Linked DNA regions of Macaca fascicularis. The protein of the gene in region 4 interacts with the protein of the main gene of each other region in a pairwise test. Links are inferred from orthologs where the notes say so. Each region holds a gene or a part of one and is shown on either strand. Other genes may lie near its edges.

Region 1 (5,121 bases), on a different chromosome or scaffold from region 4:
GTATTGTCTTGTACACATGAATAGACCATAAAATGTAATATAAACAAACATAAAATCCTAAAAATATATTTCGAAGTTTTAAGAAGTTTACTGAAAATTTTAAAAATATTTCCTAAGAGCAAAGGAATACAGTAGTATTAATAGTAGCAGTATAGAGGCTTGGTAGTAATAAGCTTATGACACTTGCTATGCGCCAGGGACTTCTGTGAACAGTTACTCATTAAAAACAAAGCCACATTTGTGAGGGAGGTACCATTGTTACCCTCACTTATTGGTGAGAAAATTGAGACACGGAAAGGTTAACAACACTGATGTAATTTATACAATCCCTAATTTATAAAATCACTGATTCCACGAACAAAGTACCTAATCACACTGCTCTAACAAATGAAAAACAGCCTTTTTCAAGAAAAATATCTCACTCATCAAATATAACTGATAAAAATGTTTAATGTAAGTAATGACACTGTAAACGGATTTTTATTCTGAGAATTCTTTTTTATGCAAAAGTGTTACTAAAACGAAATCAATGGGAAAATGATTTAGGAACAAAAATATGATATACCAGAGATCTTTTAAGGACTATTTCTCTAGTATACAACAAGGGATATCTGTTTACATTAAATATAAGCATAAACATGACAGTCTTAGTTTTCAAGCATGTCAATGATATCTTTTTTTGAGACAAGGTGTCACTCTGTCACCCAGGCTGGAGCACAGTGGTGGAGCGCCTCGGCCTCCCGATTATCTAACATTACAAAATGTGTGCCAGCACACCCAGTTAACTTTCTATTTTCCTGTAGAGACAGGGTTTCGTCAGGTTGCCCAGGCTGGTGTCTGGGCTCCAATGATCTGCCACCTCAGCCTCCCAAAGTGCTGGAATTATAGGTGTTAGCCACCACACCTGGCCAATGTCTTCTTTTAATATAAGAAATAGCACTGTATTATTGCTACGTTTTCAGTTTGACAAAAATTCTGATTTGGGCCATAAAGGGAAAGTGAAATATTTACATCATTATTTATTTAAGAAACTTCATGTTTCTAGAGAAAACTATTTCTATCTAATAATGAAAGCCTGGTAGCAAGACATAAAATGATTTGCTCTAAAAGCAAAAGATGCATCTAACAAAAAAGCGAAATCCCTGACATCCAGCTTTCCTAACACTGATCATTATCACTTTTATCTTAAAAGAAGAAAGTAATTTTACACTCATCTTCACATGATTTTCAGACAAGGTCTCTGTACTTTTACTTTACTTCCTAATTCATTACCTTTTCAAAGAACTTGGGCCAGTCACTGCTGTGAATGTTTCTTAAATTACCTCTGTCTTCAATCTTGTAGTGTCTGATTTTCTGGTCTTCAAGCCAAACAATGAAGTTTCTAAATTCTGTTTCATCTGCAATAAAAAACATCACATAAAATAACTAGAAGCACTATATAAAATACCTCCTTCTCAGGTATATGTTCAGATATATGTTCTTGTGGAATTTTCTTAACTTCAAAATACTAAATTAATTAAACCAAAAGAGGGAGTTGAAAGTACAGACTCTGGAGTTGAAAGTACAGATTAACAATGATCTGTTCAAATCCTGGCCTGAATTCAAATTCTGGGTCCAGATACTTACTGGTTGTGTGAACTTGGGATAATCACCCACATTTTCTGTGCCTCAGATTCTTCAGCTACAAAATGAGGCTGCTAACAGAACTTACCTATAGAATTATGAAGATTAAAAGAAGTTGTTTTATTTAAGAAGTTTCTTAAATAAAATAAATACGGATAAAAACAGTGCCTGGCACATAGTTTTGCTATTTAAGTGTTAAATATTAATATTCCAGTTCCTTTGCAGACAGAAAGGGGAGACAGGGCAAGGTTAAATTTATAGCAAAGTAATAAAGTAAAATAAATAACAAAAGTAAAAGAAATTAAATGACAAAAAACTGTGACTACTGTTGTCATGTAATGTTAACTGCACATTAAATGCATACATTGTTTTGTTTAATCCTCCCCATACCTCTTTTGAGGTAGGTAATATCCCGTTTTACAGAAAAGAACACTGAGACTCAAAGATTCCAATTCAGAACAAGGCTCTATTTTCATCGTTACTTTGTTAAAGCAGAAAAACAACAGATTATAATTTGATATGCTTCTACAAGAGATCAACAAAACACTGACATCCTGCTTAGATATTATTTTCAATTTGTGAGTCAAATTCAAGCTTCCATTATAAGGTCTTGAGAATTATACAATGGTCTGAGTATCACAAGTTATACTTGATCACTTTCAAACTTACCAGTCTATCACAGGCCAGAACTATACAAAGGAAATGAGTAGTAGTGGGCAGTAGTTTTGTTACAGTGAGTAGCAACGTTATTACTTTTTAAAATTCTAATGCTGTAAAATCCCAAATACCTTTGTATTTACAATTCAACCTTCCCATTCATCTGCTATTAACTTTTTTTTGCAAGACCACACAACACAACTAGCCCGTTACTACACGCGCTTACCCTCCCACTGTGATCGGTCCTGACTTCATTGTGTACTGTCTCAAACCGCTCAGTGAGTTCTGACTGCTTCCACCCCTCGCACCCCTCGACCCTTTAGCTCCTGGCAGGCAGTGAGCTAGTCTTCAAGTTAGCACCTTCCTCAGCATCCAGCACCGCGCTGGCCCATAATTAGCAGGTGCTCAAGGTATCGCCTAATTACCCAGGGAACCGTGGAGTTGAATAGTGAGTGAGAAAGACGAATGCTCTTCCTTTTATGTGCTGAGAAGCTAGTTACATGGTGTTTGGAGTTAAGCAAGTGCAGAAAGTAACATGCTGAGACAGGAGTAGGTGAGAGGACTTTGAAGCCGGGAAGGGGCGGCGAAGAGCCGAGGTGCGTGGCGACCCAGAGGAGAGGGGCCCGAAGGCCGGCGGCGGAAACCAGGCCGCCGAGGGTCCGGACGGGGAGGTGGGGTGGGGGCACTGAGGCTGGGACCGCCGCCCAGGTCAGGGACACCCGGCCGGCCCAAGGCCGTCGCCTCACCTTTGCAGTTGAAGCCGGCGGGGTTGTGGTAGTCGAGAGCCGTCAACTTGCGTCGGAACATGGTCCCCGCTTCTCGCTCTGGTCCCCCGGGCCTCGGCCGGGAGAGAAGCGAGGTGGAGCGGGCGGCGCAGGCACCGGCGACGCGGCGAGAGGGCGGGTTGGCGCTTGGACGCTCCGAAATGACGGCGGCCTCCGCCAATCGTAGCTTAAGCGGTGGCCGCCGGCAAATGCCCACCAATCGAGGCTCCGACTGGGGAGGCGGGGCCACGTCGGCGCACGACGTCGCTCAAATAAACTTTATTGTCAGCTTCCTGGTTGTACACTAGGCAGAAAACCACTGGGAAGCTACTTTCCTTTCTTTCTTGCTATGACATGCAGAGAATAGTATATGTAGGCTTTTAGTATTCGCTGTACCTCCCGTTGGATTACAGAATTACTGTTTAGTGTTTTGAGTGCATTCATTCATTTATTCGTTCATTTATTACTCCTCCTACATAATAGGTGCTCTTCTAATACAAAGACGACAAAGCAAAGTCCCTGTAGTAAGATGCTTTCAGACTAGTTGGGAGTGATCCACAGGTACACATACAACTGTTAATACGATGCGATCGTTCCAGATATCCTCAGCCAGAGTGAAATCTGAAGCCGAGATCGTCCCTCACTCCCGTCCCTCACTCCCGTCCCTCACTCCCCTTCACCCTCGGTCACAGCATCCAGTAGGTCACCAATTCCTGCCATTCTCTCCTAACTCTCAAATCCCTCACCTCCTTCTGGACCCCACTGATACAGCCACAAATCAGACCCTCATCACTTTTGCTTACTCTAATTATCTGACTGATTTCTTAGGGCCAGTCCTGCTTTCTCCACACCATTCCCCCACACAGCAATGAGAGAGATTTTTCTAAAGCAAAAAACTGGCCATAACTTTCTCTGCTTATGTTTCAGTGATTCCTGGTTACCTCCTAGAAATAATCAAAACTCTATATTGTATTTAAGATCTTTCCTGATGCAGTCTCTACTTGCTTTTCAGACAGTGGAGAGAGCAGTGAACAAGACAGACCAGGCCCCTACTTTCATGGAGTTTAAAAGGCTAATGAGGGAAACAATAAATAGATAAGTATAAACTAAGGCTTGAGGATGGTGAGGCATTCACCGTGCAGTCAAAAGGGTAACCTAGTTTGAGGGAAGAGGCTGTATAAAGCAGGAAATGAGCAACAGCATGGCCCAGAGGGACTAGAGCTTGTAGCGGCTGAGGGTGAGAGGGAATGACAGCTGATAAGACTATAGACAAAGGCAGGGGTCTGATTAGGACAAGCCTCTCATGGCAAGCTAAGGGAAGCTATTGAAATTCTTGAGGGTAAGCCAACTATGTATGTTTCATTTCATTTCAACAGATTTTAATTAAACACTTAGGATCTGTGGAGTATACAAATGAGTAAACTACAGTCTCTCTTTTCAGGAAATTTAAGTATAATGACAAACATAGATGTGTAAATAAATACTTATAATCTAGAGTTAGAAAGGGTAAGTGAATTACAAGAAGTATAAAATGTACTACAAAGAAGTGCAGGCCGGGTGCAGAGGCTCATGCCTGTAGTCCCAGCACTTTGGGAGGCTGAGGTGGGAGGATAGTTCAAGCCCAGGAGTTTGAGACCAGCCTAGGCAACATAGTGAGACTTTGTCTCTACTAAAACTAAAACTTAAAAAAAAAAAAGAAATAAATAAATAAAAAAGGAAAAATTAGCTGGGCATGCTAGTGCATGCTGTGGACCCGGCTACTCGGGAGGCTGAGGTGGGAGGATCACTTGAGCCTGCAAGGTTGAGGCAGCAGTGAGCCATGATCATGCCAACCTGGGCAACATGCAAGACCCCATCTCAAAAATAATAGTAATAAAAAGAAGTACAGAGGCCAGAATACAGCTTTAGTTTTAAGGGGGCACTGTAAGATAATCTATATTTTTCAATTAAGATGCTTATAGAGTGAATCAAGAAAACCAGTTCAAGGGTGTCTCAGTTCCAACAAAATTTGATCAACGATGCAGGTCTCATATTGTGGTGCATGCTAATTGTATAATTAATGAAATACTAACCAAAA
Region 2 (5,089 bases), on a different chromosome or scaffold from region 4:
CCCTACTAGACTGTAAGCTCCTTAAGGCTTACAGAATGTTTGCCATTACACAATTGTGTCAGTATTTAACATCCAATCATCTAAGTACACTAAAATATTTCTGGAACAAATAAACTGTAATTTTTAAATTTTTTCATTCAAGGGATTGTACCAATTTCTCATTTTTAAAACAGCTATTCCATGACAATTCAATTACTATCATAATAACCAGTCACTGATAATTCTTTTCATTTCTCAGCCTATACATGATAAAGAAGACTAAAGTTTAATAAAACTTTAATGTTATGCATTCAATCACGGAAGTGTTGCAAACTGACTACAGGATATTATGTTTTCCTATCATTGAGAATTTTATTATTGTGTTTTCCACAACTGAGCTAAAATTTTTCTTAAAAAGCCGATTCAAGGTTAGGTTCTCATAACTACAACATAATTACGGTACTGTTTTATTGTTTATCTTCTAGCTAATCTGGATGTATGTAAAACTCCGAAACAGAATAACAAGTAACTATTGTAGCAAATAGAAGACATGTGATTTGAGAAACAAGCACTATTTTGTGTGACTTATCCTAAATACATTAATACACATAAGTATAACTATCATTTGTTGGTGATTACTCATAAAGTGGGGTGGTGAGAAATAACCTGATTGGTGAAACAATTTGTTAAAATAGTCAAACTTGGAATAAAGTATGCAAAAGTAGACACCTCTGTTGATTTATAAAATCAGACTTGGGCCTTTCATTTAGCCTAAAGAAAAAGAAATGCTATTTCATCTAAAACAAGCAAGACCCTTGAGCAAACAAATAGACAAAAGTCTGTTTATGATTCAATCCACTGCATTCCTAGTAAGTAGTGTCTGTATATCAAGAATGAATCCAGTGACCTAATAATAATTTCCTTTAAGTGTTTCTCATACCACAGGTCATGACCCATTAATGGATCACAAGCAGCATTCACTAAAAATGAAATCGAATAAGATATAAACTATCAGAGGACAACACATAAATTAAGGGAAAGTATTGTTTCCAGAAGCTTTTGATTCAGTTGCATATGTGACCATGTAAAATGTATTTCTAAGTATGGGCTACAATAAAAAACATGTGAAAGCTACTGTCTTGCATATAAGCCCCTCCCCATTACTATTTCTCCCCAAAATCGGGAACTCTACACTTCAATTACTCACAAAAATGAAGTGACCTTAATCCAGGGTTCTGACAGTTTAAGTTTGATCTCACAAGCTCTAAAGTCAAACTACCTGAATTCAAACTCAATTTCTACTATTTCCTGAGTGAATCTGGACTTACTTAAACGATCTATATATGCTTCACTTTTGTCATCTGTAAAATGGTTAATCATATCTCCCAAGTGTGGTAAAAATAAATACTACTACAGTGGGTCAACACGTTTTACTATTAACAGAACAAACTGAAGAAGTGACATATATATATTAGAAATATAAGAGAAACTTAACAGAAGTTATCTTTGGTGTGTTATCTTTGATGTTTGTGAGCGTGTGATGCCTTTCATTTTGTATTTTTCTGTCCTATTTGGGACAATACATGTATTTCTAATATAATGTTTCTAATGTATATAACATTATTACCTATATGCTTAAAATATCAACAGTAAGTATCGAGGCAGTGAAATTATAGTCCTTTGTTTTTCTTTTACAGTTTTCTTTATTTTATAAACATATTATTAGGTGTCTTTGAGAGAAAATCATCAACTATTTGCAAAAAAAAAAAAAAAAGACAAGTGTGAGGTCCAGAGCTTAAGAAATTCACACTTTTTGAGGGAGAACTTTGTGCCAGATACGTCTCACCAAATGCTCGCACAACATCATTTTATGATTTTTGCCCATGAGAAAACTGAGGCAACTGACACAAGGTAAACGGTCTGCTATACAACAAATAATAGTGGCCACAATATCAAAGCCTGTATTTCTTCTATCATCATATAATGCATCCAAATATTGTTCTCCAGTTGTTTCACACTGGCATATTTTGGTCTCCCCATCTAGACTGTAAACTTCTTTAAAAGAAGGGAAACTTTCATAAACTTCATTTCTGTCTTTCATTGGGTTACTAAGGCTACAATAGATGCTCAAACATTTGCTGGGTTGTATTAAACCTCTTTTGGTCTGGACTCTCCTCAAGGGACATACCTTTGTAAAAACAAAATAGCACACAAATGACAAAACTACTCTAAAGCTGTCCAAATCTAACTTTATTCCTGCACACCGAAAACTAAACTGTGCAACCACTGAAGAATTTCTTGGATTCATTTATCCCCCCACCCCAACCACGCCCCCATCACCCAGACACCATCAAAAGAAAGGCACCTCTAGTCTTCTGGTGAGGTGTTGAAGAACCATGACCACGCCCCCACTTTGTCCCATCACAATAACCTGCTTTCTTGTCCTAACTGGACCCTGCACCCAAACCCAAAACCCTTAATAAACAATTCAAAAGTCTCTGACCTGCAGCGAAGTGCAGGGGAGAAGACTTCCGGCCGGCCATGTCCTTTGCATTTACGTTTGCCGCGTCCACCAGCCTCTTTACCCGGGACACGTCCCCATTGCGACAGGCCTCCAGTAGTTCCCGTAGGGCCCCGCTCACTGCTGGGACCCCTGTCCCAGGTCCTGCTGCCCCAGGCCCCAGTGGTGCTGTGCTGCTAACTCCGGCCGCCTCGGGGCTCTCCGCCAAGCTCGATCCAGGGGAGGATGGAGAGGAAGATGAGGAAGAAGTCGGGGAAGAAGAGGACGACGGTGAATTGTTACTGCCACTGCCGGCTGGGTTGGGAGCAACCCCAACGGAAGATGAAGTAGAAACGGCTGGGACCACGGGAGCGGCGGCGACGGTACAGATTGTGCTGGTGGTATTGCAACAGCTGGTACCGTCAACCGGGTCCGGGGATCGGGGCCTGTCGGGCGGATCCCGACTGCCATCCCCCTCCGGCAGCGCTAGGCCGTGCCGCGGGGAGGCGAAGGGGGCCAGGCCGCTGGCCGTGGGAGAGGCTGGGGTGGTCCCCGGGGCCAGGCCAGGGCTGAGTGGGGGAGGAGGTGGCGGCGGCGGCGCTGAAGCCCCTGGGGCGGGCTGGAGCTGTTGTTGATGATGGTGGTGATGATGCTGAGAGCGACGCGACGCCGCCATCTTCGGACTCCCCTAGCACTGTCACTGCGGCAACGGCCCCCACCGCCCGCCCTCACTTCCGACCGTCGGACCAATCAGCATCCAGCGCACAGGAAATGATGCTAGCGGGGTAGGAGGGGCCAAAGAGAAAGAGGGAAGTATTGGGAGCTTAGGGAACAGCCAAAGGAACGGGGCGGGGCTTTGTCACTGAGAGGCGGGGTTTGTGACGTGGTGGCGGGCCGGCTGGAGAGATTTGAATGCTGGAACCAGCTCCTGCCTAGATGAGAAACATTTCTTGCATTTCTCACTTTCAGGCGGCTTGCCCTGGTCCGCTCTGTTTCCCTCAGTCTCCCTTTGCTTGCTCCAGAGCCAGCTGTTGAGATGCAGCTCAGAGCAAGCAGAGAATGTGTCGATTATCATCTATTAAGCGTCCTCGTCTGAAAAATGGAACTAATAGTACCAACCTCACAGAATTATTAGCGGGATTAAAAGAGCTAACATAGACAAAGCGCTCTGCCAGTAAAACACAACTATAATTAGCCCATTGGTAATTTTTAAAATTATAGTATTTTCCAGGTGTGTCCTTGAGCTCTTGTCCCTTCCCTATAATTTTTCTCACCCTATGTGCTTTAATTCCTCGTTTTTAAATGCTGGTTTAGATTGCTAGGATTGGCATTCCAGCTCTGCCATTTGTTGTGTATATATGAGCCATTTCATCACTCTGCCTGTTTTTCTCTGTAAAATTGAAATAATGGTGCAATAGGTGTGAATTATTAAAATAATGATTTTTTTCCTATTCTGCTTATCTCTGAAATTTTATTTTTCACCCTACGTTTAACTAATTATGAATATATTCCTTTCTTTTGAATTCTAGTTTAGCTTAGCCTCTCCCACATCCCAAACGGATAAAAACCTGATTGCAAGGCTGGTCACGGTGGCTCATGCCTGTAATTCTAGCACTTTGGGAGGCCGAGACCCGCGGATCACTTGAGCCCAGGAGTTCGAAACCAGCCTGGCCATCATGGTGAAACTCTATCTCTACAAAAAATACACAAATTCGCTGGGCAAAGTGGCACACGCCTGTAGTCCCAGCTCCTCAGGAGTCTGTGTTGGGAGGGTCACTTGGGCCCGGGAGGCAGAGGTTGCAGTGAGCTGAGGTCACACCACTGCACTCCAGCCTGGGTTACAGATTGCTGTCCATTACTCACCATCAGGTCCTATTTTTCAGCAACTGCTTTTTCTGTCTTTCCCCTACCTATGTATACTTTTTTTTTCTGCCATCAAAAGATGTATCCGTGAATGAGATAATCCCATTGAAGACTCCATACCTACTGTTCAATAGTAAAGCCGGCATTATAGAATTATACACAAACAGCATTATTCCAATAGAGTGAACACAGATGGAAATTCTATGACCTAAGAGAAACAAGATTTAGATGAGTCAAGCAGAATATTAAACCAGGTGATACATTGTTTCATGTGTTCATTGTTAAATATGATTTATGTGATGTTAATATTCCCATTCAAATAAATAGATGAGTTTATTTGGGGTTACTAACTAAATACAATAAGGTCAGGAACATAATTAGTATTACGAATGGCATTTATTTTCATGTAATCTGGGGTTACAGATTATAATTCTTAACATTATCCAGCTGTCTGATAAAATTGTGCCATTGTTCACGGTAGACACCTAACAAAAAGTGTAGCTGGATAGGAAAACTCACATCAGTGCAACTCACATCAGTGCACATCAGTGCATCAGTCCACAACATTCTTCTTCATGCTTCTGTTTTTAAATCTTAACTTCTTGATGTAGAGCAGAGAACCATTGAGAAGTGGAGGTGGACCAACATGATATGCTAGATGTCCATAACATGCCATGTGTCCCCTAAATAATGGCCTCCTGGAATGGGAGGCATAAGAAATATCTCATCTGGTCTCCCAATGGCCAG
Region 3 (4,923 bases), about 170 Mb from region 4:
GCGGGACTCACACAGCCTGTACACGCACCTATGCATGCACACAGGTACATGGGCCTCACCCAGGTGAGAAGCATGAGTGTCTATGCTCAGCAGTGAGGCTTGGGGGAGAGCGCAGGGCTGTGGCTCACCTGCAGGATGGGGATCTCCCTCTCCAAGGTGTGACACTCCTCCTCCAGAAGGCCCCTGGGACATGAGGGAGCAGCAGCCAGAACCCGAGACATAGGACCAGGGCTCAGCTGAGTCCACCACATGGCCGCAACCTCCAGCCTCAGCAGAAGCCCCACCCAACCTGTCCTTCCTCAGCCCACACTGCCCTCTGCTTCTTGGTGGGCTGCCCCAGCATAGACTTCTGGCCCCCACAAGGCTCCTTCTGGGCAGGAAGTGTCTTCCCCTCACCTACCTCACCCTGGCAGGCATCCTTCTCTCTCCCGCACTTCTGCGCTGTGATTCTACTTGCCTCCATCTTCCCTCACATCACAGCCCTTCCTCTGCTTAAAATCCTCTGTGGCTACCCCCAGAGTCAAGATATTTATATTTATTTTTAAAACAGGGTCTTGCTCTGCCACCCATCATGACTCACTGTAGCCTTGCCTTCCAGGGCTCAATCAATCCCCTCTCACCTCAGCCTCCCAAGTAGCTGGTACAGGCATGCACCACCATGCCCAGCTAATTTTTGTATGTTTTGATAGAGATGGGGTTTTGCCATGTTGCCCAAGCTGGTTTCGAACTCCTGGGCCCAAATGATCCTCTTGCCTCAGCCTCCCAAATTGCTGAGATTATAGGCAGGCTCGGCCATGGCATCTGTACTTGGCTGCTTCCTGAAAGCAACCTCACTAGCTCTACAGCAGCCAGCTCTTTCCATCTCTCAGCCTGACACACATGGGTCTCCCCACCCAGTATGTTACCTTCCTCCTCTCTCACAATCCCAGCATGCCAAGATCCATCCCTGTCTCCACCCCTGCCTACACACATGCAGGTGCCCCTGGGCCTCACCTCAGATGTCTGGCCACCTGGTCAATGTTGGACACGTTCAGTTGGTCCTTGATGATGCTGAGATCTCTGTGACCACTGCTGGCAATGAAGTCACTATTACTCTCCCCATGTTGCTCACCCCAGGCCTTCAGGACCCAAACATCACTTCTCCTAGACAACTGTCTTTCTTTTCTCACAAAAACAATATAATATAGTGCAAAGAGTAAGAGTTTGGGAGCCTAGTTTTGCAAATGAGCTCTGCCACCCTTCATTGTGTGTGACTTCAGACAAAGCACTTATCCCTTCTGAGCTTTAGTTTCTTTTCTTTTTGTTTTTTTGTTTTTTTGAGACAAGATTGTGCTCTGTTGCTCAGGCTGGAGTGCAGTAGCACCATCTTGGCTCACTGAAGCCTTGACATCCCAGGCTCAAGTGCTCTTCCCACATCAGCCTCCTGAGTAGCTGGGACTATAGGTGTGCACCACCACACCTGTTCAATTTTTTGCACAAACGGGGTCTCACTATGTTGCCCAGGCTTCTTCTTTTTTTTTTTTTTTTAGAGACAGGGTCTTTGTCACCCAGGTTGGAGTGCACAGGTGCAATCATAGCTCACTGAAGCCCCAAATTCCTGAGCTCAAGCCATTATCCCACCTCAGCCTCCCAAGTAGCTGGGAATCCAGGCATGTGCCACCACGCCTAATTTTTTTTTTCACTTTTTGTAAAGATGGGGTCTCCCTGTGTTGCCCAGGCTGATCTCAAACTCCTGGCCTCAAGCCATCCTCCTGCCTCAGCCTCCTAAAGTGCTGGGATTACAGGCATGAGCCACTATGCCCGGCCTTTAATTTCTTCTTGTGCAAAGTGCAGACTTTGCCCACCTCAGGCTGTGTGAGGATTAGAAAAAGAAGTTGCTGCCATTCACTTATGAATGTTTTATCTCATTCAGTCCCAGCTGTAAATACCATTTGTAGCCATCCTCTTTAGCTCTCCCTGCCTCCCTAACCCAGCCCTCACTCCTGTTCTCTAGGCCAGAGGAGCAATCGCCTGCTGGACTTTCTTCCCTTTTCCTACAAAGCTCTTCTCTCTTTCATCTCCCTGAAAACTGCTCCTCATACGACAACACGCAGATCAAACCACTTTCTCCAGGAAGCTTTGCCTGTCCCCAGGCTAGGCAGGTGTTTCCTCTGGGTTTCGGCAGCCCTCATGTGCTGATCTCTACCACAAGTGGTGGTGGAAGTGCCCAGCCCGTGACTGGAACCTCCTGCATGGAGCCAGGTGCAACCCACCAGTTGGCTAGGGCCCTCTGCCAAGCAGGGACAGATCCCTTTCTCCTACCATCACCTTACCTGGGCCTACCACCTCTCATCTGGAATATCTCCTGTTCTGGCAAATCACACCTGGGCTCCTCCAAGGCAAAGTGCAGGACCCTGGGGCTATACTGGACCCAAGCTTGGGCCTGGTCCCTGCAGAAGGTGCACAGGAAGGAAGATGAGAGGCTCCTTTCTGGAAACCACAGAAAAGGCAACCCTGGCTCTTTGTTAGGGGCAGGGCTAGCCCACCTGGTATCTGGGGAAAGGACCCAGGCCTGAGGCTCCCACCTGCCCTCACAGATGGCTTTGTGGTGGAGACCCTGGAGCAACTGCCGGAGTTCCTGGCGCAAGAGGTCCTTTAGGAGAGGCGGTGGTGCCAGAAGAGAAGAGGGGTCAGAGATGGGGCGGGAGCTGGGGGCTTGAGAGGATCGAGCCTCTTGGAGCAGTGCCCGTAACATCGCCACCTGCAAGGAGAGCTGGGATACCTTGCGACTGGGGAGGGGAGTGACCGGAATGGTGGGGGCTGGGGGAGTGAGGGAGAGGACAGAGTCAAAGGGGAGAGGGCCAGGACAGTGAGACCCAATAGGATCTCGGGAGTTCCCCGGCAGGGCCAGGGACCCGCAGGAGGTGGGAAATCACACCCAGGGGCGTGGCCCACCTTCCCTCTCCCCACCTCCGCCCGCAGCTCCAGGCTCAGGTCCACCGCCGCCTCCCCCAGAATCCTCTTCACTTCGGGTCGCTCCCGGAGCGGAATGTGCTCCTCCACCAGCTCCCACAGCGAGGGGGAGTGACGAAGCATGACCCACCCGCGCCGCCGTCCCCAGCTCGGACCTACAAGCCGCAGGTCAGAGCGCGGGAGGTACCGCGGGCCCGCCGGCAACGCTCACCAAGCCCCGCCCCTCTATGAGGACCGCCCTCTTCCAAGCCCCACCCATGCTCTGCCGCCGGTCCCCTCAGCTGGGATTGCCCCGTCCAGAACCGCCATTCCTTGGCGCGCTCTTCTGCCAGGCTTTTGGTCAACTCGTATGCCGCGGGCCCAGAAGCCAGGCAGTGGGAACCAGCGCCCTAGCCCCACCTCTTCCGCGTGGCCATCACCCGGGAAACCGCGCCGCGACTCTAGGCCCCGCCCCCTCCCGTGTGTGGTCCGGCGGCGGCGCCTGCAGGCTGGGAGTTCAGACTTAGTGCTCCACCGAGCCCTGACCCCAGGCACTTTGGGCTCGGCCCTGGGCACCTTTAGGCCTCAGGGAACGTGTTAAGACCTGAGAAATCTGGGTCCACGGGTTTATTACTTCGTCGCCTCCACTGGCCCGGAAGCAGTGCAAGGACAAACTTCCCCTTAAGGCCAATAGAAGCCTAGGGAGTGACAGCGTTCCGAGAACCAGCATGGCCCGGATCAGGTTTACTTGTTGGGCCAAGTGCCCTTCCACCACAACACACTCAGGGTAACCATGTTCAGGGACCCGACCCCCACCCCCAGACAAGGGAGCTGCTCCATTCACGTTTTTTACTAAAGCACCCACACAAGTTTCTGTGCAATGTACAAACACGAGCCGGCCCTGGGGCTCCTGCCTCCTCTCTCAGACAGGGAGGCGGGCACCAGACTTACTGATCCAAGCCCCACCTGCCTCCCATGCAAAGGCCAACCCCAAGATCCCAGGCAGCGACACAGCATCCCCTCTGGTCCCCTCCTGGGGCAGCTCCTCAGCAGGGGGCGCACCAAAGCTTGCCCCCTACAATGTTGAATGAAAAAGGTTTCCCCTCCCCTGGGAGCAAGGGGGTTCCCAAGAGCTGAGAATTTCCCCCTGGAAGAGACACTGCCCCCTAGACATACCTCCCACCCTTCCAGGCCCTAGGGGACTCAAGGGGGGAAACTGAGGCACAGAGAGGTGGAGTGACCTAGCCCAGGCCACTCCGCGAGGCAGTGCAGGGGCTGGCCCGACCCTGACAGTGACTGGGGCTGGGCTAGGGGGAGGGGGTCAGGAAGGAGGGTTGACTCCAAAGAGGGCCACACTTGTGAAGAGCCTGCCCAGGCAGGAGGCCCCCAAAGTGGGTTCTGAAACTTCCAGGTATAGCTAGGGGGCCTATTGAAGACCCTCGGAAAACAAAGCCCACAGTCTCAGTCCTGGAGGTCCTCCACAGAGCAGCTGCCAGCCAGGCTGTGGTCAGTCCTCTGGCAGGCAATCCTCGGCACCGAGAGCCTCTGTCCATTAGTGTCAGCCCCGAGGGGGCCACGACGGGGGCCGCCCAATGTCCACTGTGATATTGGTGAAGAGTGGTTGCCGAGACACCTCCAAGACCTGGTACCGCACTGACCCAATGCCGTCCCGCTTCATGGTCAGCTTCGTGTTTTGAATCTTGGTAAACCTAGATAGGATGGAAATGGTCTGTATCAGGGCTAACAACTGTAAACTACAAATAAAATCCTACACCCCCCAATCAACTAAATGGACCCCCTTTTGGCCACGGGGACCCCAGAGAAACCTTAAAAACAGGGTTTCCAGCCATGATGGGAAGGGACGTCAAACATGCCTTGTTATACCCACTCCCTTTTGCAGTTTAGACACAACAAATGACCAGGATTAACGTCAAAGCAGAGATCACAAGACTGACAGAATGCATTCTTTGTGTCAATAAGATACCTAATTAT
Region 4 (4,422 bases):
TTCAGAAAGTTGGATGGAACTGGGACTGTTGTGATAGACAGCATGTCCTAACTCAGGCCAGTGAAAGAAAAATGGGTGACCATTTGAAAGCCAGCATTCCAGCAAGGCAAACAGGATAATATCACACATTCTCCCACACCACATCCCAGTCACATCAGATTCTAACTCATCATTTTCAATATGTGCTTTTGCTTACGGTCTTGGCTATCTCCAACATAAATTTTTATTGTTGTTGTTTTGATGCTTTTAAATCTAAGCCTTAACTTCTCTTGGATATTTTTATGTTCCCCTGACAAAAACTGCTCTATAGTATGATTGAGGATACAAATCGTGTGTCTCCCAGGGTCAAGACACAGTGGCTTAAGACAGTGGGGTTGTCCTGAGGAGGTTGTGTAGCCAGAAGAAGCACTCTGGCCCTTAGCAGGCTTTCTGAACGACACTCTAAGACCAAGCCAAGACAACAGATGAGTTACAGCACATGGTTAAAACATTACTCACCTGCCCAAATACTTCAAAATTTGCAGCAGGGAAATGAACACACTATCTACTAGAGGTACCAAAGAACCCTTATTTGGGGTTCAAATAATTCAAGGCAGTTATTAACTTGCAGAATTTTCAAATACATCATGACCTCACAGAATTATTTCATGATGGTGTCTGTGTAATACAAAACACTTGGGCTAGTGACGGTTAAGATGTCTTATGTCTGGGAGGCTTTTTAAAAAGATATATGTCGAAGTAGGAATTTGTTATTGGCAATGTGGCCAATCCTGACTCTTCCCAAGTTTTGCTTCACTGGAATTAATTCAAGGACTCCAAGTGCCATGCGACCAGTTCATAATTTTCTTTAGACACAATTATAAATAATTGAGGAATTTGGTTCATCATTGAAAAATGAAGTCCAGGAACAAGCTAATTATACTTATTATTAAAATATGTAGAGTGTATTTTGCTCAAGATGAAGCCATAGGGAACACAATCAGCACATTCACATATTGTGTTTTTGGTTTGTTTCCTGGACCCCAGCCAATTGCTGGCTTCAGCAGGGCCATCTCCTTGACTGAGGACAGAAGTGCGGCACAGCATGGAAGGCTGAGCAAAGCACCAGATGCCTTCTGGAAATGCCAGTGTGACTTCAGGAAATAACAAAAATGGCCTCATATCCATGGATCCTAGTGAAGGCAGGAACATCACTGTCCCTAATCACATATATGAGAACAGAAGCACAGACAGAACAACCACTGGATTAAATTTACCGATCTGTGGCAGGTAGTTATTAAGCTCAACACTCTGCAAAACTGTGAGTGTGGTTTCTACAGTGATGTAAATCAGAGTTTGGACTTGGACTTCCTCAGAGAATGCAGTGCTGTACAATACTAGATCTGTGGGATATGAATAGGAGTTACATGAGAAAAATTCACGATCCATTAAGCTTGGAAAGTTTGAGGTTAGATAAAATCAAGTGAGTTTACTTACTATAAGTTCTCTCTCAGACTAATATGCTAATGCGCGTTGTGGTTCTCCAAGCAGATATTATGGTATGGTGTATTTATCAAAGGCACTTGACCGGAGAGGGGACTCCTTTGTTTAGAGAGCATCTCTTGGGGCCACCTTCCTCAGTGCATTTTGGGAAGTGCTGCCTAATTGAAATCAGCCTGTTTTGCAGCTGTCTCAATAGGAGTCCCAGCTGGGCCAAAGAAGCAGCCCAGCAGGAGCCTGAAATGCCCTTGCATTATTGAGTACTGCACTGATTTACTAAGTACTACATTGCCTATACTTATAGTACTGAGTACTAACTGCCCTGTGTCACTGAGTTCTGTGCTGTCCTACTGAGTACTACACTGTGTTACTGAGCACTCCACTGCCTTACTGAGCACTGCACTGTGTTACTGAGTATTGCACTGCCTTACTGAGTACTGTACTGCCTTGCTGAGTACTGTACTATATTACTGAGTACTGCACTGTTACTGAGTACTGCACTGCGTTACTGAGTATTGCACTGCCTTACTGAGTACTGTACTGTATTACTGAGTACTTCACTGTGTTACTGAGTACTGCACTGTATTACTGAGTATTGCACTGCCTTACTGAGTACTGCACTGTATTCCTGAGTACTGCACTGCCTTACTGAGTACTGTACTCCCTGAGTACTGCACTGCCTAACTGAGTACTGTATTGTATTACTGAGTACTTCACTGCCTTACTGAGTATTGTACTGTATTACTGAGTACTGCACTGTGTTACTGAGTACTGTACTGTGTTACTGAGTACTGCACTGCCTTACTGAGTACCGCACTGCCTGAGTACTGTATTGTGTTACTGAGTACTGCACTGCCTTACTGAGTACTGCACTGCTTTCCTAAATGCTGCACTGCCTGGCATTGAGTGAAACAGGTTCCACGGGAAAACAGAACAGGCTCAAACATTTTATACAGGTTTCCCCTGATCCATCCACAGCCTCACTGTGGGTAAATTTCATAAATTTCCTGATGAAACACAGACTCTCAGGGATCCTTTCTTCAGGTGCAATCATTGCCACAAAAGGAAAATTGAAAGGTGGCATACCACTGAGAGGCTGCTGTCTTACCAAAATATCTTTTGAAAGTTGCGTATTAATTTTTCTAAGATAATATTAGATCACAGGAGAAGTAAGGTGAAAAGCTGTTAATTCCAGACTCTGAGGTTAATTAGCTCTCTTAGATTGTGCACCTGTAGGAATGTGTAACAGGTATGATGACAGAGTGTTATGCTTGGTTTCCTTTTTATAGAATCTTGAATCAGGAAATATTTTAGTCGCAGCAGAAGACAAATGCTACAGGGAAAAGAGACATTTTTCCAGAATTCACCCCAACTTCTCTCTAATGGGGGCTGAGATGAAAATATTCTCAAATCCTGTGCAAGCCATTCCCATGAATGACATGGAAGAGAAATTTTTGAGTGACATTTGGAAGGAAATTCAGCAAATCCGTCTCTCTCTCCATATTCCAATTTGCAGACTCCTCAGACTCATGAGAATGAACATGAGCCACCTTTCCACTGAAAGACCTCAAGGCTCTGTATCTCCATAATTAACTCAGGCACATTAGTTATGCAGGGGGAGGGGATAGCAGCCCCCCAGGTCCAAACTGTTGACATGGTGGCCCACCTCCCTCCCCCATCCCGTCTCTCCTCAGGCTTGTGCTTCCCGGACACCAGCTGTCATGCAGGAAGCTGCGGCTTCTCTTTCCCCCGCCTCCTTTGCCGGCTGGAGCTGCAGGATCATGGCCTGCAGAGTTTCCTTCACCATCTGGAGCTCCCTCTTGAGAGACTGTGGGCACGTTGTTAAGGAGCACATTCGAAGGTGATGGTGGCCCTCTGCAGCCTCCAAGGGATCGAAGAGCACGTGAGCCTACTGGAAGCAGATGGGCACTGCCACCTAATTGCAGTTTCAAGTTCTTTCAAATTGTATGAATTAAATATTAATATAAATTTTATACTTTTTCTTTTAAGAATGACTGCAATTTCTACAATGCCTGAGGTATTGACTATCTCAAGTCAGGTCTTAAAAAGGAAATGGAAGAGTCAGCTCTTAGCCGAGACAGATGGCCAACTTAGATGCTCAATGATATGCAGTTGGCGTGACCATAACTCCGGCTAAACCCCAAGTTGGGGCGGGGCAACTGTCAGATGCAAATACTCTTGACAGTGGAAAGGGCAGAATGCTTGAAATCAAAATCTCCTCGAGAAATACAGGATTTGGGGTCACCATAAGTCGGGAGAGGCATTCTGGACCAGACTCAGTTATTAACACGGTCTCTGTTCACCATTAACCAGTCTTGTCACCCTATGCAAACCGTTTAAAGCCTTAGTTTTCTCTTGAGATGATGACTTTGAAACCCCTCCAGGTCTAACCTGCTGTTACCTGTTAGTATATTCCCAGGGACTAGGAAGGGCACTCAAGACTAGATAGAGTCCATCAAAGGGCAGAGAGTTTGCCTTTTCCGGTTTGGTTGGTTGGTTCTTTTTTTTTCTTAAGCTGTTGGGCTCTTCGTTTTCTAACCTATAAAGTTATTTCTCATATGGAGGAAACAATCAAAGAGAACTTAGCAAACAGTAATAGATAAGGCTGTAGTTCTCTTAAGAAACGGGTTCTCGTCTGGGTGTTCAAGCAGGGGAATGTTTAACCAACAGTGGTTTTTCTGTCCATACATCATCCAGTTCATCCTTTCCCTTTTTACTTGTAGTCAGAACAACTCTAAGGCAAATGCAGGGTGAGAGTTGGGTTTAACAAGCAAACTGATCCATTTTCATCCAACAGGGACCAAGGGGGAAAGTAGAAATATGCTGACACCACCTAAATATGCTGAAGTCATCACATGAAGCCAGACCACTCCAATAGTACTAGATCAGACACGGAGGGAATGGAGAGCTTTGGGAGAGGGA
Region 5 (4,882 bases), on a different chromosome or scaffold from region 4:
TGGACTGCCCCCTACAATGACTAACCTTGCCCAATAGTCCACTAACCACACCCAGCTACTAAGTCTTGGCCCTGCAGTAGAGATCCATTAGGTCCAACAAGAATATGCTGAAAAACTTGTTAGTGGCCAAATAGGAAAAAACAAAAACGAAAACAAAAACACAAAAAGCCACAAACAAAAGCCCCCAAACTCTAAAGCCAAATAACCTTTCTGAGAGTAGTCACTTTCTTAAACATTTAGATTTTCAGGATACGTACTATTTTTAAAGCAAATATAACTTTCATAAAAATCTTGCTGTTAAGCATATTTCAGAACTTAGCCAGGTGTTAATATGGGTGTATCAAGTTATAAATTGGTCGATAATTTTTACCATAAATTGTCTATTTAATGTAGTTATTCAGCTTTCCTGAAAAGAGAGATAGCTCTGTAAATGCAATTTATTCTTGTTATATTATAACTACTTTATTGGTAGTAGAAAATTTTTAATCAACGATTTTGTCCTTTGCGCTTAGTCAACAGCAAGGTCACATCAGTTAATAGACCTATAACGTATCTCTCTATCTATAAAAAGATCATACACATTTGTGTCTATATATCTAGATTTATATGCATATGCACATATATGTATCTATAGATCTAGATTAATATTATACATGATATAGATATAATTTATACTATAGTCTAGCATAAAATATAATACATATAAATTATCTACATATATAAAATAACTGTATCTATATTCTAATATATCATTCTATATCTATTCTCAGCCAGATGATGGCAATAGTAAGCTGTATAACAGAGAAACAGAGAAATAGAATGTCCTGGTGTTTGTCCTTGACATTATAAATTTGAAAAGCTGAAACCACTAGATGAAATATTAGAAACCAAAACTCTGTTCATGCTTCCAACATTTGAAAACATTTTTTCATAAAAAGTTTAAGCATATGCATTGAGATTAATCTGCACCTCCTTCGTCTAATTCAAAAATCTTTTGCTTCTACTAGTATTTATTCTTTTAAAGCTGCATAAAAAGAGAGAAAACTACACTTGCAATTCTTTAGAATAATTTTTTTCTAAGTAAGCAAGAAAACCAGGCGCTGAGTTGATGCCTGCACCCTGCCTGCTTTAACTTTAGTGGTGAAAGCTCTGCCCGAACAGCCTCTGCATGGTGGTTAGTGTTCCGGATACGCATGTAGTGAGCACCGTACCTGTACGCAGCGATTTCTATATCCAGAGCCATCTTGACGTTGAGGAGGTCCTGGTATTCGCGCAAATGACGAGCCATTTCCCACTTTGTGCCCCGAAGCTCATTTTCCAGCTGCTGGATGGTGTCCTGAAACAGACACAGAGAGTCTCCCTAGACTCATCCTTGCAAACAGCAACTTCCTTCGCAAACCACTTGCTACCCCTTCCCTCTCGCCTCCTCCCATCTCTATCCGCTTCTGCAAACCTCGCTGACACCCGACTCCCAGCCCCCCTCCCCCACCCCTTTTTTCTTTTAAATCTAAGGGATTCTCAAGGAACATACAAGATCAGTAAGACAATAGGACACTTCCTGGGCACATCACGCACGGAGATCAGTGGACTTAGAACACGTCTCAACAGGACACAAACATGCATGGGGAAACTCCATGGCTGACCTGGCCATTCCCATCTGAGCCCTTTGGGCTGAAGCCAATTTTTAGAGCTCTTCCGATCACTGCCGGAAAAGTAGAGAATACACGGGTTTCTGCATAAGCTATCCTAAAGTTGCTGATTTATCCACTACCGAATTTATCCCTCCTGCTTTAAACGTGCAAGCGTGCAAAATTAGAACTGGAAAAGAAGTACGTTTTTGAAAAAGGTCAAGACCTTTAAGCAGCTGGGGCAGGTGGGTGGGGGCGGAGTATGGAGAATGAGAGTGGCGAGAATGCTGATCCGAAACTACCCTAAGTCTGCGGCGCGCGCGCTCTAGCGAGCGGCCGCCAGAGAGCGCGGCGGAGAGGGCTCCTGGGCACGCGCCCAAGTGTCGGGGGCGCGCGGCGCTGGCGCTGGCGCAGGCTGGCCGCGCAGCCGCGGTTCCTACCTGGTAGCTGCTGAGGTCGTGGTTGTGGCGCTCCTCGATGTCGCTGAGCTGCCGCTCCAGGGACTCCTTGGTGCCGCGCACCGACTCTAGCTCGATGCTCTTGGACTGCAACTGGCGCCGGTACTCGGCGATCTCTTCCTTGGCGGAGCGGATGGCCTCCTTGTTCTGCTCTGCCGCCTCGGTGAGCTTGGCGTAGCGGCATTTGAACCACTCTTCGGCCTGGTGCATATTCTGGTCGGAGTGGCATTCGAGCTGGGAGCGGATTTCCTTCAGCGCCGTAGAGATGTCTGTCTTCAGGTAGTCTTTGCGCTCCACCGTGATGTGTGATGCCTGGATCTGGGCCAGAAGGTCGGCCACCTCCTCCTCGTGGTTGCTCCGCAGGAAGGCCACCTCATCCTGCAGCGACTGCACCTTCTTGTCCAGCTCCACCTTGACCAGCGACGCCTCCTCGATGTCTTTGCGCAGCGCGCGGATGGCCGCCTCAGTGTCGTCGCGCAGCCGCGCCTCCTCCTCGAAGCGCTCCTTGAGCCGGTGGATGTCTTCCTCCAGGTGGTCCGAGTCCAGCTGCACCTGAGCCTTCTCGTGGTTCACCATCTCCAGCGTAGCGCGCAGCTCGCGGATCTCCTGGTCGTACGCGTCGCCCAGCTGGGCGTGCGAGGCCTGCTTCTGCCGCAGCGCCTGGATCTCCGCCTCAATCTCCTTATTCTGCTGCTCCAGGTAGTGCACCTTCTCTATGTAGCCGGCGAAGCGGTCGTTCAGCCCCTGCAGCTGCTCCTTCTCGTTGGAGCGGGACAGCTTGTAGTCGCCACCGGGTCCGGAGCCGCCGTTGAGCAGGGACGAGGACTGGCTGAAGTCAAGGCTGCTCTCGGCGGAGCTGAGCATGGCCGAGCTGTAGGCGAGGCGCGGGGCGAGCATGCTGCGCTTGTAGGAGGAAGACACGGTGCTGGGCGAGCCGCGGGACCACGACTGCGAGCGGAAGCCGCTGGACGGGGAGCCGCTGACGCGGCTGAAGCTGGAGCGGGTCTCGGTTACCCGCCGGTAGGCGGACGGGTTGCCCAGCGAGTCCAATGTGTAGCTCATCTTGGAGGCCTTGGGGCGTGTGGCTGTCACAGCGTTCTGCCGGCCTCGCCGCAGCCCATTTATAGCCGCGGCGCTGGTCCCGGGCCAGGGCCCCGCCCCGTGGAGGCGGCGGCCGAGGAGGCGGGGACTGCGGGCACCGGTCGGGGAGGAGGGGAGGGGGGCGGCTGAGCGGTGATTCAGCGCCCGCTCCACGTGGGCCCAGGCCGCATGGGAACCCGGACTTTGCTGCCCTGGGCCCAGCCCCTCCCCCAGGTTCCCTTTCAGTCCCAGGCCACTTGTCGCCGGGCAGTCGCCTTCTCTCCATTTCTCACTTCCCGATTGCGTTTCGCACCCTTGGTACAAATATCGCCAGCGCCCTTTCTTTGCCTGTCACTGTCCCACCGTTCGGGCAGCGCTTCCCCGACCCCCTGGTCTCCTTGTTCTTTAGCCCTCTACCCTCTTACCCTCAAGCCTTTCTCTTCTTTTACCCTTTCCCCGATACTTTTTTCTTTACCCATCTTCTGTGCTTAATCCCATCCCCTTCTTTTTTGGCCCCTCTTCTCCTTCCTGCTCCGGCCTTTAGTTCGCTTCACCCTGCCTTTCTCTCAGCCCCTTCCTCGCGGACCCTTTTCTTCCAATCTTTCCTTCTCTCCGTCTCTTGCTTCCCCTCCCCCTGCATTCCCTCTTCTCCCCTCCCCCACCCTCATCTTTTCTTGCCTCCCTCCCCTTCCCCCACTCCTGTCTTAAAGCAGCTGGAGATGAGCGCCAAGGAGCTGGGTCTAGAAGACAAAAAGAAAAGAAAAAAAATACTTTGAGGAACCGTCTGCCTGAAGGCTTCGGGAAGGGGACAAAGAGAACAGGCCAGGGTAGTTTTTTGTATAAAAAGTGGGATATTGCGTTTTTAACGTTTGGGGGACGTCCGCAGCTTCCGCAGGGGCAGAAGGTAAGGCGCTTGTGCTCGCTATGGCGCCGGCAGCACCAAGGACAGCGCCCAGGTCGGGCGAGCGGGAGGTGCAGCCTCCCAGGGGCTTGTCACCCAGCCTGGCCTGTCAGGTTGGCGGGGGGTAGGGGGTTCCCTTCCCCCTCTTCTCTCCGAGCAAATACAATTTAAACCTGCCTGTAGTGACTCTCTTTGCAGGAGCGAAGCTGGAATCGCAGGCTAAGACTTCTCTGCAATGCAGGGCTGGCACAATGAACAGATTGCAGATTTTGAAAACAACCAAAATTCATTGAAGTCAGTTAACAGAAATATGTACTTGCAGCCCAGTTTGAGTTTTCTAACGTATGATTGTATAGGAGATGAAGAGATACAGGGCCTGAAATGTGAAGGTCAAATACTCCTTGGAAAGGAGAATTTGAAATCTGTTGGGATGAAAAGTCCAGGGAAATATAGTTTTTGATAAGTTTGGACACAAACAACTGCCTTGTCATCTTTCGGTTCAGTATCCCCTATGTGTAACTGCAGTGATTGAAAAGGCATCTGAATTAACTTTAAATTGATTTAAAAGTTGCCAAACAGATTCACCACAACCTTGAATAAAACCAGATGTTTTCCCTCCATTTAAAATGTAATATATTTTTCCTTTTAGATTTTAATGATTTATATGGAATAGATTTTCTATATCATTAAACATGTTTATGCAAACAAGGACTCTACACAGACTTCTTGCTGTCTGGTGTACTCTTAACTGTTAGAATGTCTCTTTATTTTGTGTAGTGCTTTGGGGGTAATTCAGGTTAAAAAAATTCAGAATA
Region 6 (5,084 bases), on a different chromosome or scaffold from region 4:
GCTTTTCTAAGCTTAAGACTCTCCACCAACGCATATGTTTATTGCAGCACTGTTCACAATAGCAAAGACATGGAATCAACCTAAATGCCCATTAACGGCAGACTAGATAAACAAAATGTGGTACATGTACACCATGGAATACTATGCAGCCATAAAAAAAGAATAAGATCTTGCCCTTTGCAGCAACATGGATGGAGGTGGGGGCCGTTATCCTAAGCAAACTAACACAGGAACAGAAAACCAAATACTGCATGTTCTCACTTATAAGTGGGAGCTAAACAGTGAAAACACATGGACACAAAGAGAGGAATAACAAACACAGGAGCCTACTTGAGGGTGGAGGGTGAGAGGACAGAGAAAATCAGAAAAAATACTTGTCAGGTACTATGCTTATTACTGAGGTAATGAAATAATCTGTATACCAAACCCCTGTGACACATAGTTTACCTATATAACCTGCACTTCTACCCCTGAACCTAAAATAAAAATTAACAACAAAAAAAGACGAATCCCCAGCAAGAGCCTAGGCTAGAGACCAGAAGTGTGGTGAGAGTCAGTGAGCCAAGCATAGAGGGCCACACATGGTGGGTGTAGTCCTTGACCCACCCCCTCTTGCAACATGTTACAGGTCATCAGTCATTTCCAGCCTTATGCACCAAGGACTTAACCTTTCTCTGATACTAAGTGCACATCAGACTTAGCTCAGCCACTGGGCTGCCCAAGGAGGAGGGAGAATATCCCCAACATAGGAGTCCCACAGGAGACTGACCCGAGTCTGCTATTTATTTTGTGATTTGAGCCAGGGTTGGATAATGTGTGCCATACGTTGTGTTTTGAAAGGCCCTGGGAAAAGTTACACATTGGACTATTATTGGCCATTAACACCATTAACACTGTGTGAATTTATTGTCAGAAATAAGCCTCCAGGAACTGAGCTCTGCTACAGGTGCCTGGAACAGAAAATGAACAGGACCTAGTGTTTGGATGATACAAAGGGGAAAGAGGAGTGGACACCAAAAGGTAAAAGTGGGGTCCTGAAAGGGAAGGTGGAAAGGCTCACACTTCAAGATTTTTCCCCTAGAGCTAAGAAAATGCAGACTTTTGCCCCAGTTGGGAGGCAAGAGGGATCAGCTGGGTTTTTGATTGACTGGTCAATTTGTTTCTAGCCCCAGTTATGAGTTCCCATATCTCCCTTCCTCGTCCTCATAATGAGTATTTCTGGATATCACTTAGCCCCCAGAACCTTGTCCCTATATTCCACCTCTTTAGAATTCATGCTTTTGGGTGCTGGGCTGTTTGTGTATGAGAGAGAAGAAAGAAGAGAGAGAAAATATAATCCATGTCTCAGGAAGAGGAAGAAGGGAAGGAAGGAGGAAGAGAAGGAAGGTAGGCTTAGACCTAGGAAGCAGAATAGAATGACAGGGGCTCCCTCTGATTTCCCCAGACCCTGGCAGCAGCTCCTGTCATCCAGCTTTTTCCTCTGCACATCAACTAGAGAATGAACATATGAGCCAATCAAGTCTTGACTTCCAAAGCCACAAGTCTCCCCCACAAAGCACCCCACCCCCTTCCCTAGAGATGACCTCCAGGGCAAGGTAACAGGGTTAGGAAACAGATGGATGTGCAGAGACCCTCCAGAGCTAACCTGACCCCTGACCCCCACCAGTTCATGTCCTCTAATCCAACTTTCCAAAAGGGAGAGCAGATGCATGGGACCCCGGTAACTTACTGGACTCTTTGGGACAAAGATTCCAGACAAAATGGTTTCAGACATGTGGGGACATGGGGAGCTACACACAGAAGCTAGTGGAAGCCACAGGTACAGGGAGATGGGGAATCCCTGGCCATCAGAGAAACAGGGTCACAGGTGGTGGAAAACGAGGATGGTCAGTGCCGGTTCCCGGGAGGGACTGTGTAGCCAGGGAGCAGGAGGAGCAATGGACCCGGGACATGGACGGTGGCAGGGGCGCAAAGATCTAGAAAGACATCTCAGGGCTCTACACCTCACAGCAAGCAGAGACTTAGTGGGTGTGTATGAGAGGGACGCTAACTCACACTTCCAGGAATGAGTAATTCTTATGAATAGCTCCTCCGTTCCCAGAACTGAAGAGGAGGACAAGGGGGAGGTCCGAGGCGCCCACCGCCCTCCCAGCCGGGTCTGCCTCTCAAGTGAGAGGGGCCGGCTCCCCACACGCACCAGGCGAGACCCATGTCGTCCGCCCCGCTCCTGTCAGTCTGCAGCCGGCGCGGCTCCGGGTCCCCGCCGCCCCTCTGTGCACATCAGGGCCCCGGGCCCCCGACGGCGAGGAGGGGTGCCGGCCCAGGGCTGCCGCCGGGAGCCCCGCTGACAGGCACGGGGGAGGGGGAGCCAAGGGAGGGGCCGGGACGCCGGTAGCCGGAGCGGCGCGCTGCAAAGTGAGCCAACACCGCCCATCCCCGCGCTCCGGGAGAAGGCGGCCCGAGGGGACCGCCTCCCGCCTCCCCAACACGGACTCCCGCAACTGGGATGAAGGCGGAGGGGCGCGGAGTTCCCAGCCCCCACGCCCTCCCCAAACGCAGCCAGCACTGCCATAACAACCAGAATCTCGGCAACTCCCGCCCCGACGCCGAGGGGGCACTGGCCCCCAACACGCACGCGGCAGCAACAGCCCTCCTTCCCCAAACTTGTCCAAGACGCCGCGTCCGAGGCAGCAGCCTTCAGCCCCGGCCCCCCGCGCCCTGCCCAGCTTACCTGTCCGGAAAAAGGCGTCCACGTCCGAGTCGGCTGCTCCTCCTTCCTCCGCTGCTCCCTCAGGGGGGTTCATGACTGTGGGAGGGCGTCTGAGGGCAGCCGGGGGCCAGAGAAGCCTGGGGCCGAGGGCTGCTAGGCGCCCGATGGGCGGAGGGCGCGGGGCGCAGCGGCCGCGGCCGCAGAGCTGGCGGCCAGGGGGGCTTCGAGGGCGGGCGCTGGGCGGTGGGGCAGGGGCAGAGAACGCCGAGCCTCCCTCAAGCGGAGGCGCGCGGCGGGCTAGGGGTGCCTGCCGCCAGCTCCCCCATGGTACCCCTTCCCCAGGGCGCTGGCCGCCTGCTGTCTGGCTAGGGCCGGGAACCGAGGCCGGGGCGCGGGCTGCCTGGGTGCCCGCTGTCCCCCAGCAGCGGCAGCTGGCTCTCCTGCTCGCCTGTCTGCCTGTCTCTATTGTTCAGCCCTGCTCCGCTCTCTCCTCTTTATTTTTCCTCCTCCCTCCCACCCTCCCTGTCTCTCTACCTCCTCCCTCCCTCGCTCACTCGCTCACTCGCTACCTCCCTCCTTCGCTCGCTCGCTCTCTGGCTCCCCCTCTGGCTCCCGCCGCAGCCGCCGCCTCCCCAGCTCCTCCCCCGGCTCCCGCTCCCTCAGTCGCCGCCAACAATGACCCCTGGAGCGCCGAGCTGAACTGAAGCTCCAGCCCGGGCCGAGGGCTCGCTGCGGGCCCCCGGCGGCGCCGACGCCCCCTGTCCCAGCTTCCCTGCGCCGGCCTCCCAGGGAGCGAAGCCTGAGTCCCGAGCTATTGTTCGAGGCTGTGCTAGGCCGGCTTCCTGAGCTCGGCAGGAAAAGCCCGGGCCGAGGAGGGGGCGGGGCCGCCGGGCGAGCCCGGGGCTGCAGGGCGCAAGCCAGCCTAGTCCAGGGGCTCTGCGGCCCGGGCGCTGCGCGCTCTGCTTCTCCGCTCCCGACGCCAGTGCTCCACCCGGCCCAGCGGCCACCTCCTCCGCCCACTCCACTCCCAGGTGTGTGAGGGGAACACCAGGCTGCCCGCCCGCCTTCTCCGGATCTTCAGATCGGTCCCCAAGCTGGACTGACCTGTCCCTAGAGGCCGGCCTTTCTTCCCCTCCTTCCTGACGAACTCTCTTCTGTCTCCCTGCCCTCCTGAGCCTCTCACATTTTCCTCACCAGCTCGCCACAATTTCTCTCCTTTTTGTCTTTTCTCGTCCTTTTCCCCTTTTCAGCGCCCCTTTAAACATCTCCGCCTGTCTCTGTGACTCTTTGTCCAGTTTAATGCTCCTGTGATGTTTCCCTGCCTATCTCTCCCTCCCTCCGTCACTCTCTTGTCCCTCGTTTGTCTCTGTCCTGCCTCCGTACTTGGCCCTATCTCCGTGCTCCTCTTGGACAGCTGTCAAAACTCTCTAATCCCTGGGGCCTTCTCGGTTTTGTTCTTCTCCCTCATGTGAATGGAGAGATCCAGTTGGCCAGGAGAAAGGAGGTGTTACAGCAAGCTGAATTTCAATTAAAGTGGGGAGAGGGGCTGGGGAGGAGTGGGGATGACTGCAAAAAAGAAAACAGATGCTGTATGGGGTAATTAATGTGGTGATTGTATTGTGCCCATCAGTTTTTAAGTAATAATTAAACAATAATTATCCAGTAGTGTGTTTGTGGTTCTAGTGACTGCAGAGCCCACCAAACAGAAGGTCTTTAAGACCTGAGTACTTAATAAAGTCTGCTGAGCGCTGTTTGCTGTTGCCTCATCCAGACAGATGGAGAAGTGGTGGCCTGACCTAATGAGTTAAAACACGCCTAATAGGAAAACCAGGTACTTGTCTGAAGTTGATGACTGCAACCCATCAGACAGAATCTCCTGGAACTGTTTGTCTCTAGTAACCTATTTGGTTCCACCTCTCTCTGGGGGCCAAGGCAACTGGGGCCTATGCAGATCCACCAACTGGGTAACCCTAGCAGCAAATAAAACGAATTAAATGGCCAGGCGCGGTGGCTCAAGCCTGTAATCCCAGCACTTTGGGAGGCCGAGACGGGCGGATCATGAGGTCAGGAGATCGAGACCATCCTTGCTAACCCGGTGAAACCCTGTCTCTACTAAAAAATACAAAAAAACTAGCCGGGCGAGGTGGCGGGCGCCTGTAGTCCCAGCTGCTCGGGAGGCTGAGGCAGGAGAATGGCGTGAACCCGGGAGGCGGAGCTTGCAGTGAGCGAGATCCGGCCACTGCACTCCAGCCTGGGCGACAGAGCGAGACTCCGTCTCAAAAAAAAAAAAAAAAAATGAATTAAATTAGTTTTTAGTGAACACTTTCTGGCTCCCGGTACTCATCACGTTCTTCACTGACACAAATAGGCTACT

Evidence for each region. The genes of interacting proteins can lie anywhere in the genome.
Region 1: the proteins of DISC1 (region 4) and RTRAF interact in a two-hybrid assay, tested with the Homo sapiens proteins (2 studies listed by BioGRID and IntAct). The link is inferred for Macaca fascicularis from reciprocal best matches to the Homo sapiens genes DISC1 and RTRAF.
Region 2: the proteins of DISC1 (region 4) and TNKS interact in binary tests that used the Homo sapiens proteins (3 or more experiments, as listed by UniProt). The link is inferred for Macaca fascicularis from reciprocal best matches to the Homo sapiens genes DISC1 and TNKS.
Region 3: the proteins of DISC1 (region 4) and CCDC24 interact in a two-hybrid assay, tested with the Homo sapiens proteins (2 studies listed by BioGRID and IntAct). The link is inferred for Macaca fascicularis from reciprocal best matches to the Homo sapiens genes DISC1 and CCDC24.
Region 5: the proteins of DISC1 (region 4) and NEFM interact in a two-hybrid assay, tested with the Homo sapiens proteins (2 studies listed by BioGRID and IntAct). The link is inferred for Macaca fascicularis from reciprocal best matches to the Homo sapiens genes DISC1 and NEFM.
Region 6: the proteins of DISC1 (region 4) and KALRN interact in a two-hybrid assay, tested with the Homo sapiens proteins (2 studies listed by BioGRID and IntAct). The link is inferred for Macaca fascicularis from reciprocal best matches to the Homo sapiens genes DISC1 and KALRN.

Annotation. Positions count from the first base shown.
Region 1 is NC_088381.1:119,881,060-119,886,180, reverse strand, and holds the start of RTRAF (RNA transcription, translation and transport factor protein), read right to left. Parts: upstream 3,182-5,121; 5' UTR 3,088-3,181; coding exon 3,027-3,087; intron 1,398-3,026; coding exon 1,273-1,397; intron 1-1,272. UniProt on the Homo sapiens protein: RNA-binding protein involved in modulation of mRNA transcription by Polymerase II. Component of the tRNA-splicing ligase complex and is required for tRNA ligation.
Region 2 is NC_088382.1:11,351,677-11,356,765, forward strand, and holds the start of TNKS (poly [ADP-ribose] polymerase tankyrase-1), read right to left. Parts: upstream 3,182-5,089; 5' UTR 3,156-3,181; coding exon 2,483-3,155; intron 1-2,482.
Region 3 is NC_088375.1:190,766,858-190,771,780, forward strand, and holds the start of CCDC24 (coiled-coil domain-containing protein 24), read right to left. Parts: upstream 3,182-4,923; 5' UTR 3,076-3,181; coding exon 2,950-3,075; coding exon of another isoform or gene 2,935-2,949; intron 2,800-2,934; exon of another isoform or gene 2,741-2,799; coding exon 2,526-2,740; intron 2,430-2,525; coding exon 2,313-2,429; intron 1,072-2,312; coding exon 994-1,071; intron 509-993; coding exon of another isoform or gene 493-508; exon of another isoform or gene 359-492; intron 184-358; coding exon 129-183; intron 1-128.
Region 4 is NC_088375.1:17,053,419-17,057,840, forward strand, and holds the end of DISC1 (disrupted in schizophrenia 1 protein), read right to left. Parts: intron 3,309-4,422; coding exon 3,170-3,308; 3' UTR 842-3,169; downstream 1-841. UniProt on the Homo sapiens protein: Involved in the regulation of multiple aspects of embryonic and adult neurogenesis. Required for neural progenitor proliferation in the ventrical/subventrical zone during embryonic brain development and in the adult dentate gyrus of the hippocampus.
Region 5 is NC_088382.1:28,095,070-28,099,951, reverse strand, and holds the start of NEFM (neurofilament medium polypeptide), read right to left. Parts: upstream 3,182-4,882; 5' UTR 3,149-3,181; coding exon 2,069-3,148; intron 1,337-2,068; coding exon 1,212-1,336; intron 1-1,211. UniProt on the Homo sapiens protein: Neurofilaments usually contain three intermediate filament proteins: NEFL, NEFM, and NEFH which are involved in the maintenance of neuronal caliber.
Region 6 is NC_088376.1:159,202,479-159,207,562, forward strand, and holds the start of KALRN (kalirin), read right to left. Parts: upstream 3,182-5,084; 5' UTR 2,805-3,181; coding exon 2,732-2,804; intron 1-2,731. UniProt on the Homo sapiens protein: Promotes the exchange of GDP by GTP. Activates specific Rho GTPase family members, thereby inducing various signaling mechanisms that regulate neuronal shape, growth, and plasticity, through their effects on the actin cytoskeleton.